Linked DNA regions of Oryctolagus cuniculus. Each later gene encodes a partner of the first gene's protein in a complex. Links are inferred from orthologs where the notes say so. Each region holds a gene or a part of one and is shown in the gene's direction. Other genes may lie near its edges.

Evidence for each region.
Region 2: the proteins of TOPBP1 (region 1) and PHF8 are in contact, whole or in part, in a crystal structure (PDB 7CMZ), measured with the Homo sapiens proteins. The link is inferred for Oryctolagus cuniculus from reciprocal best matches to the Homo sapiens genes TOPBP1 and PHF8. Residues at the interface, in NP_008958.2 of Homo sapiens: Gln1298, Cys1299, Arg1314, Asn1315, Glu1316, Leu1319, Arg1369, Ser1406, Arg1407, Gly1410, Phe1411, Arg1413, Leu1414, Arg1465, Thr1466, Glu1467, Ala1470, Asp1471, Gln1475, Asn1483, Tyr1484; in NP_001171825.1 of Homo sapiens: Gly842, Ala843, Cys844, Phe845, Asp847, Ala848, Tyr850, Ile851, Tyr852, Pro853, Ser854, Leu855, Glu856.

Annotation. Positions count from the first base shown.
Region 1 is NC_091435.1:175,324,532-175,328,354, reverse strand, and holds part of TOPBP1 (DNA topoisomerase 2-binding protein 1), read left to right. Parts: intron 1-316; coding exon 317-460; intron 461-1,174; coding exon 1,175-1,356; intron 1,357-2,109; coding exon 2,110-2,306; intron 2,307-3,823. UniProt on the Homo sapiens protein: Scaffold protein that acts as a key protein-protein adapter in DNA replication and DNA repair. Composed of multiple BRCT domains, which specifically recognize and bind phosphorylated proteins, bringing proteins together into functional combinations.
Region 2 is NC_091453.1:38,056,344-38,060,166, reverse strand, and holds part of PHF8 (histone lysine demethylase PHF8), read left to right. Parts: intron 1-551; coding exon 552-712; intron 713-1,644; coding exon 1,645-1,786; intron 1,787-3,173; coding exon 3,174-3,360; intron 3,361-3,823. UniProt on the Homo sapiens protein: Histone lysine demethylase with selectivity for the di- and monomethyl states that plays a key role cell cycle progression, rDNA transcription and brain development.

The DNA of each region.
Region 1 (3,823 bases):
ACATGAGAGTATTTCCTGATTGATATAGCGTAAGTACTTCATTAAGATCATGTTGATTCCAGAGATGAAAGTTTTGAGGCGTTCTAGGAGCTTATTTGATAGTGTAAATTGTTTCATTTGCTTTTGGGTGTGCATGTGTAATGTACAGTGTGTCTGAGAAATTATAATGATTGTTACTTTTTTCTTAGAATAATTGTTCCATTTTTCTGCAGTACTCATCAACTCAGTAAAGAATTGGTAAACAGTACAAAGTGTAATTTTGTAAGACTGGTGGTCTTTTCCTTGCTAATTTTCCAAAATACTTTCTTTTTTGTAGCTTGGTTGCAGAATTGTTGGTCCTCAAGTGGTCATATTTTGTATGCAACACCAGCGATGTGTCCCAAGGGCTGAACATCCAGTTTATAATATGGTTATGTCTGATGTAACTATATCTTGTACAAGCCTGGAAAAAGATAAAAGGGTAGGTGTTAGGAATATCATGATCTGTTTATTATCATACTTAACTTTTCAGTGTAGAAGATACTTTGAAAGACCTTAAACTTAATTTTCATATTTTTAAGAGTTCAACATACAACAGTATAGTATACCTTTTTTCTTAATAAATTGTATATAGTAGAATTCATATTAAGAGTTTTTATGTTTCCCTTCAAAACTGTTTTCCTTCCACAGTTAATAAATCACATTTTCCCACATTAGATGGATTGCCTTAAAAAAATTCTTAGAGCTGTATAAATATATTGATACATAATTTGTATTTTAAAAATATTTATATTTTTAAACTATAAAAAATTGAGCATCCGTAATCTGAAATCTGAAATACCCCAAAATCCCCAATTTTACTGACAAGACACCACAAGTAGAAAATTCCACACTTCACCTCATTTAACAAGTCACAGTTAAAACACAGGTGCACTAAAATTATTGTTTAAAATTACCTTCAGGCTGTATGTATGAGGTGTATATGAAACACCCATCCCCAAGATGTCTCATTTTGTATCTGCAAATATTTCAAAATCTGAAACCAGAAGCACTTCTATACTCACTCTGTATATGTATAGTGTATATGAATATAATCTTTATTACAGAAACAACATAGTTTAATAAACTCAAATAGTTGCGTAAATACAGGAAAGTAATTCATATTTATCTTACTATTTTCTTTTTGGGGCTGCAGGATGAAGTTCATAAATATGCACAAATGATGGGCGGACGAGTATTCAGAGACCTTAATATATCAGTAACTCATCTTATTGCAGGAGAAGTTGGCAGCAAAAAATACTTAGTTGCTGCAAACCTAAAGAAACCTATTTTGCTTCCCTCTTGGATAGAAGCACTTTGGGAGAAGTCACAAGAGAAGTAAGAGATCTTTTCTAGATTGGAAAAAGGGTGCATACTCTGGGTTTTCATAGGGGAGCTTTATTATATCCCCTTTGGATTAGTTATTCAGAGAGAAAATTGGGGCTTATTGAATGAAAACAGAAGAGCAAAATGTATAAGCTCTTATTATCAAGTGTAAATTGACAGGTTGAATGGAGTATGGGTTTAGCATTAGGTACAAGGTAAGAAATCTTTTGATAATAAAGTTAGTTTTTACTACTAAATGCTCCTAAAATAATTGAGAAAATCCATTTGGCAACTCTGTAGCTCTTATGTTGCATTATCCTTAAACACCATTCCTGGATGTTAAGATGGAAAATAAATAGCCATTTTGGCAATGTATACCCCTTAAAAAGGGTATATGTAAAACTGAATATGAACATATGTAAGCTATCAGCTGAGATGTGATCATTTAATAAATGTTAATTGAGCGCATTTTGTGAACCTGGCCCATGTGTTTGATACAAGTGTTGAAAATATACTGCTTTGACCAACAAAGGCTTAATGTTAATGAAATACATATTTTTTTCCCTTGAAACAGTTTTTATTTGAGGTTGTATCTGAAACAATATATTAGAGACTTGGTATTGAGCTGAGTGTCAGTTCAGGACACTGAATTGAGGAAAAGCAGTAGTGGGATTTCTGTTGATTGTCATTACTCTGTAAATTTAAAATTACCTGGCATACTTCATATGATCATTTGTATTTCTTTCTACCATTTGTTTTTCCCAGTAAAATAGCTAGATATACTGATATAAACATGGAAGAATTCAAGTGTCCTATTTTTCTTGGTTGCATAATCTGTGTGACTGGCTTGTGTGGCTTAGACAGGAAGACAGTTCAACAACTGACGGTTAAGCATGGAGGCCAGTACATGGGACAATTGAAAATGAATGAATGTACACACCTCATTGTTCAAGAACCAAAAGGTAAAACTGTGTTTCACAAAGGGACAGATGGCAAGCTTTTCTCTAGTATGTAACGTTTAAAACTATTGCTTCTGACATATTCTTAACCTAGTTTAATATTTTTTTCCCTAAAATCTTGAAAAGATAGTTTGGGTACAGTTTGAGAAAAGATTATATAACCATCTTAGTGTTTCTCCAGGTCATTGATTAAATACAAATAAAACTAAAAGTTTTAAACCTCTTATGATATTTTGTTAAAAAGAAAGAAAAACCACTTCTACAGTTGTCAGGTACTTAAAAGAAGTTTGGGTGAATGACAAGAAAACTGAGAGGTCAAGCCAAATGACACTTCTTTTAATGACTAAAAAACTGACTTTATTTTTAATTGAGTGAATCAACCTGACTGAATGAACTAGAAGTTTTTTTGTTTTTTACTGTGCATGTTTATGGGCTACAATGTGAGAATTTGGTACATGTACAATATATAATCAAATCAAGGTAGCTAACATTTCCGTCTTCTTAGACATTGATTCTTTGTGTTGGGATCCTTCAAAATTGTTGCAGTCACCCCACTGCTGTAGACTAGCACTACTCTTCCTCTATCTGCATTCTGATGCCTGTCTGTTCTCCCTCACTCCCTGCCCTTCACAGCCTCCACTGACCTCTGTTCTGCTCTCTTGTTAGAAAATCAGTGTCTGGGCCGGCGCCGCGGCTCACTAGGCTAATCCTCTGCCTGTGGCACCGGCACCCCGGGTTCTAGTCCCGGTCGGGGCGCCGGATTCTGTCCCGGTTGCCCCTCTTCCAGTCCAGCTCTCTGCTGTGGCCCGGGAAGGCAGGGAGGATGGCCCAAGTGCTTGGGCCCTGTACCCCATGGGAGACCAGGATAAGTACCTGGCTCCTGCCATCAGATCAGCGCAGTGCGCTGGCCGCGGCAGCCATTGGAGGGTGAACGAATGGCAAAGGAAGACCTTTCTCTCTGTCTCTCTCTCTCACTGTCCACTCTGCCTGTCAAAAAAAAAAAAAAAAAAAAAAAAAAAAAAATCAGTGTCTTTAGCATCTACATTACATGAGAACAAGCAATGCTTGTCTTTCTGTCCTGGCTTATTTTACTTAGCATAATGTCCTCTAGTTCCATCTGTGTTGCAGCAAATTGACTAGAAGTTTAAATTGAAGATACACCTTGCAGAACATGAGGCAGTAAAATAAAAAAAATTACTCCAAATATGAATTCTTTAAACTTTTGGCATTCTATAATCTTTGTATCTCTTTTGCAGAATATTTTTTACCAGTACTCATTTTTTTTTAAGTTTTATTTATTTTTTGGAATTTAGAGTTACATAGAGAGGGCAAGACAGAAAGAGAGAGATCTTCCATCAGCTGGTTTACTCCCCAGATGGCCACAACTGCCAGCACTGGGCCAGGCAGGAGCCAGGAGCTTCATCCAGGTCTCCCACATGGATGGCAGGAGCCCAAGCAGTTGGACCACCTTCCACTGCTTTTCCCTGGCCATTGGTGTTGGATTGGAAGTGGGGCAGCTG
Region 2 (3,823 bases), on another chromosome or scaffold:
TTCCATTGCTGTCCCAGGAGCATTAGTAGGAAGCTGGATCAGAAGTGGAGTAGCCTGGACCTAAGCCAACACTCACATGGGATGCTGGTGCCACAGGTGGCTGCTTGACCATGCACTGATCTGGCAACATGATTTTTAAAAAATTCCATATTTTCTAGTTAAGTATAAAATTTGTTTGTTTTTTTTTTTCTTTTAAGTTATTTCCTATTTTTTTTTTGTGCAATGTTTTAAATTGGATGCTATTGCTCTGGTTTAGAACAAATTAGCTAGATTTACCATATATGCTTTTTCTCCCTGGGTAGGCTATTGATTGATTTCTTCCTTTGTCAACCACAGAAGAACACCCTGTTGAATGGATTTTGCCCACCTTTTCTGGTCACCTGGCCTCTTGGACAGGTCATTATTCCCTGGCACATAAAGTTTATGCTATTAATTTCTAACTCACATTAGCTTCTCTCAGGAAGCCTCCATCCATTGAATGAGTGTGGTGAGTGTAGTAGCCCTTTGATAGGCAGGGCTCAGGCTTAGGCTTTCTCTCCTGTGGCCCACAGCTCAGATGAAGTGATCCTGAAGCCCACTGGAAGTCAGCTGACTGTGGAATTCCTGGAAGAGAATAGCTTCAGTGTGCCCATCCTGGTCTTGAAGAAGGATGGGTTGGGGATGACTCTGCCCTCGCCATCATTCACTGTGAGGGATGTGGAACACTATGTTGGTAAGAGGCCACAGACTCTCTCAGCAGTAACATTGTTCACTCCCTTCAAGACCCATGTCCCTTCCTCTTTAGTCTACTTTTTGCATTTCCTTTCTAGCCATCTTAGGAATCTGAGGTGATGTACCTTCCCTGAAGTCATTCTTTGGCAAAACTAGAGCCAAAATCTTACTCTTTTCTTCCTTTTCCTCTTAATAGACTACATAGCCCTATATGGAGCTGCATCTTTTTATCAGGGAAATTCTAGGGATCTTAGTCTCTCTGTCCTCTTGTCCTCTACTGAGATGATAATGCCTTTGACTTTTTTTTTAAAGATGTATTTATTTATTTGAAAGTCAGAATTACACAGAGAGAGATGGAGAGGCAGAGAAAGAGAAGTCTTCCATCCACTGGTTCACTCCCCAGTTGGCTACAATGGCCAGAACTGCACCAATCCAAAACCAGGAGCCAGGAGCTTCTTCTGGGTCTCCCATGAGGGTGCAGGAGCCCAGTGACTTGGGCCATCTTCTGCTGCTTTCCCAGGCCATAGCAAAGAGCTGATTGGAAGTGGAGCAGCCAGGACTCCAGCTGGTGCCCATATAGGATGCCAGCACTGCATGTGCCACAGCGCTAGCCCCAATGCCTTTGACTTTTACCCTTACATACCAGTTGAGTTTTGGGGGGAGAGGAGGAGAAAAATTGATTAACACGGCTGACCCTAGCAGGTGACTGTACTTTGTGTGAGGCTGTGAGTCAGGTAGTTCTGTAACTCTAGCAATACTGGACCTACCACAAAAGTATGATGGATTCTTGCTCCTGCTCCCCAAACCCACACAATACCTGTACATACAATGTCTGAGGAGAGAAGCCTTGAGCAAAAAGCCATTCTATGGACTGGTAAGGGACTGAGAGTTTTCTCAAGACCACCTGGAGCAGAACTTGTCTCTTTACTTCAGGTTCTGACAAAGAGATCGATGTGATTGATGTGACCCGCCAGGCTGACTGCAAGATGAAGCTTGGTGATTTTGTGAAGTACTATTACAGTGGGAAGAGGGAGAAAGTCCTCAATGTCATTAGTTTGGAATTCTCTGACACCAGGTAGGAGGGGCAGGGGTAACAAAAAAGCATGACGAATTGTCTAGAACTTATGATATACTGAGTATCTTTTCTGTGTTCTTCTCCCTTCCTCTTTGTGGTTTCTTCCTTTGAGATGGGGAGCCGAGTTACAGTTTCTAGGGTAGCAGCTTTCATTATAACAACCAAGTCATAATATTTCTTCTGTATAATTTCTAACATTGGATAAATTACACAGTAGCTATTTTAATTTATTTTTATCACCTTCAAGATCTAGGGCAGCTTTCTTTGACCTTTTTCTGTTATTTAGATTGTGGCATGGTCACTGTTTTGACTACCAGGATAAGTCCTTTGTCTAAATTTACTAAATTTACCAAGTAGGTTGTCTAAGGATAAGCATTTGGATTGAAAAAGAAAAGGAAAAGGCTGTATCATAACATTTAAATGATTCTGTCTAGACTTCCACACTCAATAGATAAATAGTCTTCTCAGTGCTCAGAACTGAGGGAAATACCAAGAAATCACATGTCTTTTTGCTCTTAGGAAGCTTGCTGTATGCTCATTTACATTTTTTGACTTTTAGTTTTGAAATAATTAGATATTCCCAGGAAGTTGGTCATGTGTCTTCTTCCAGTGTTCCACATAGTAACATCTTACATTATTATAGTACAATATTAAAACCCTTGCTTTTGTTTTTAAAATACTAGGCTAAACAACCTGAAGATGTTTAAAAACTGTTTCTTTATGCCTCACTTCTGAAAGATGATTTGAGGTAGCTTACAGAGAATGCAGTGAGGTAAAAAAAAGATAATTAGGACAAAAGAAATTTCAGGTATTGAAGTAGGATGCATCTGGTGGGTACTCTGCACATAAAATGTATATAATGAATGTTTTGATAATTGATAGAGATGTATTATAGAGTTTTCACTGAATTTCCTGAAGGTCAGAATAAAGGAGAATGCAACGTTTTTAAGATTTGTGGTTTTACATAGGATAAAAACAACCGGATGTTTCAGAAAAACACTTCTTTACCTGTAACTAAGCCCTGAGAGGTTTCCCTAATGGTTTCTCATAAAGAAGACACTATGAGGTGAGGACAGCACAATAACTTATAAATCAAGGGCCAAGTGAGTAGACTGGTATTGGAGGGTGAGTATGATGAGCATTTAGTAGAGAAAATGACCACCTTCCACTGGGGAAGGCTGTGCAGCTGGAACTTGGGACTTCTGGAGCTGAATGGAATGAGAATGCTGACCAGAATTACAGAAATAAGTATCCTATGTGCCTTTGGGGATTCTATGGAATGAACTTGTTTTCCGTCTTATTTGATCTGACTGAGATGCAGGGTATTTTATTCAGGCTCCAATCCCTGATCAGCTGACATCTACTTTCACTCTCTCTTACTTGCTAGGCTTTCTAACCTTGTGGAGACACCCAAGATTGTTCGAAAACTGTCATGGGTCGAGAACTTGTGGCCAGAGGACTGTGTCTTTGAGAGACCCAATGTGCAGAAGTATTGCCTCATGAGTGTGCGAGATAGTTATACAGACTTTCACATTGACTTTGGTGGCACCTCAGTCTGGTACCATGTGCTCAAGGTATGACTGGATATGGCTTCTAGAGGTAAACAGGCCTTGGGCCCCCTTCTTGTATCAGGTGTCAGCACAAAACAGGCTGCTATGGACCACATACTTACCACATTCTGTTTGGGTAACATTTCCATATAACTGCTTTGTCAGAATTTAGTATTTGGTAGATGTGCCATACACCCTGATGATTGTTTGTCTGTACAGTTTATCAAAATTGTTTTGAAAAGCATCAAATGTCTATGGTTTTTCCAACTGTTTCCTTCTTTAATTGAAGCGATTTATGCTCCTACCAACATGTGTGGTCCTTCAGACCACATATGTCCTTCAGAAATTCCTAGTAACATGAGAGTTCCTCCTCCCTCTCCCCTTCATAGAGTAATTATTTATTTATTTATTTTTAACAGAGTGGACAGTGAGAGAGAGAGAGAGAGAAAGGTCTTCCTTTTGCCGTTGGTTCACCCTCCAATGGCCG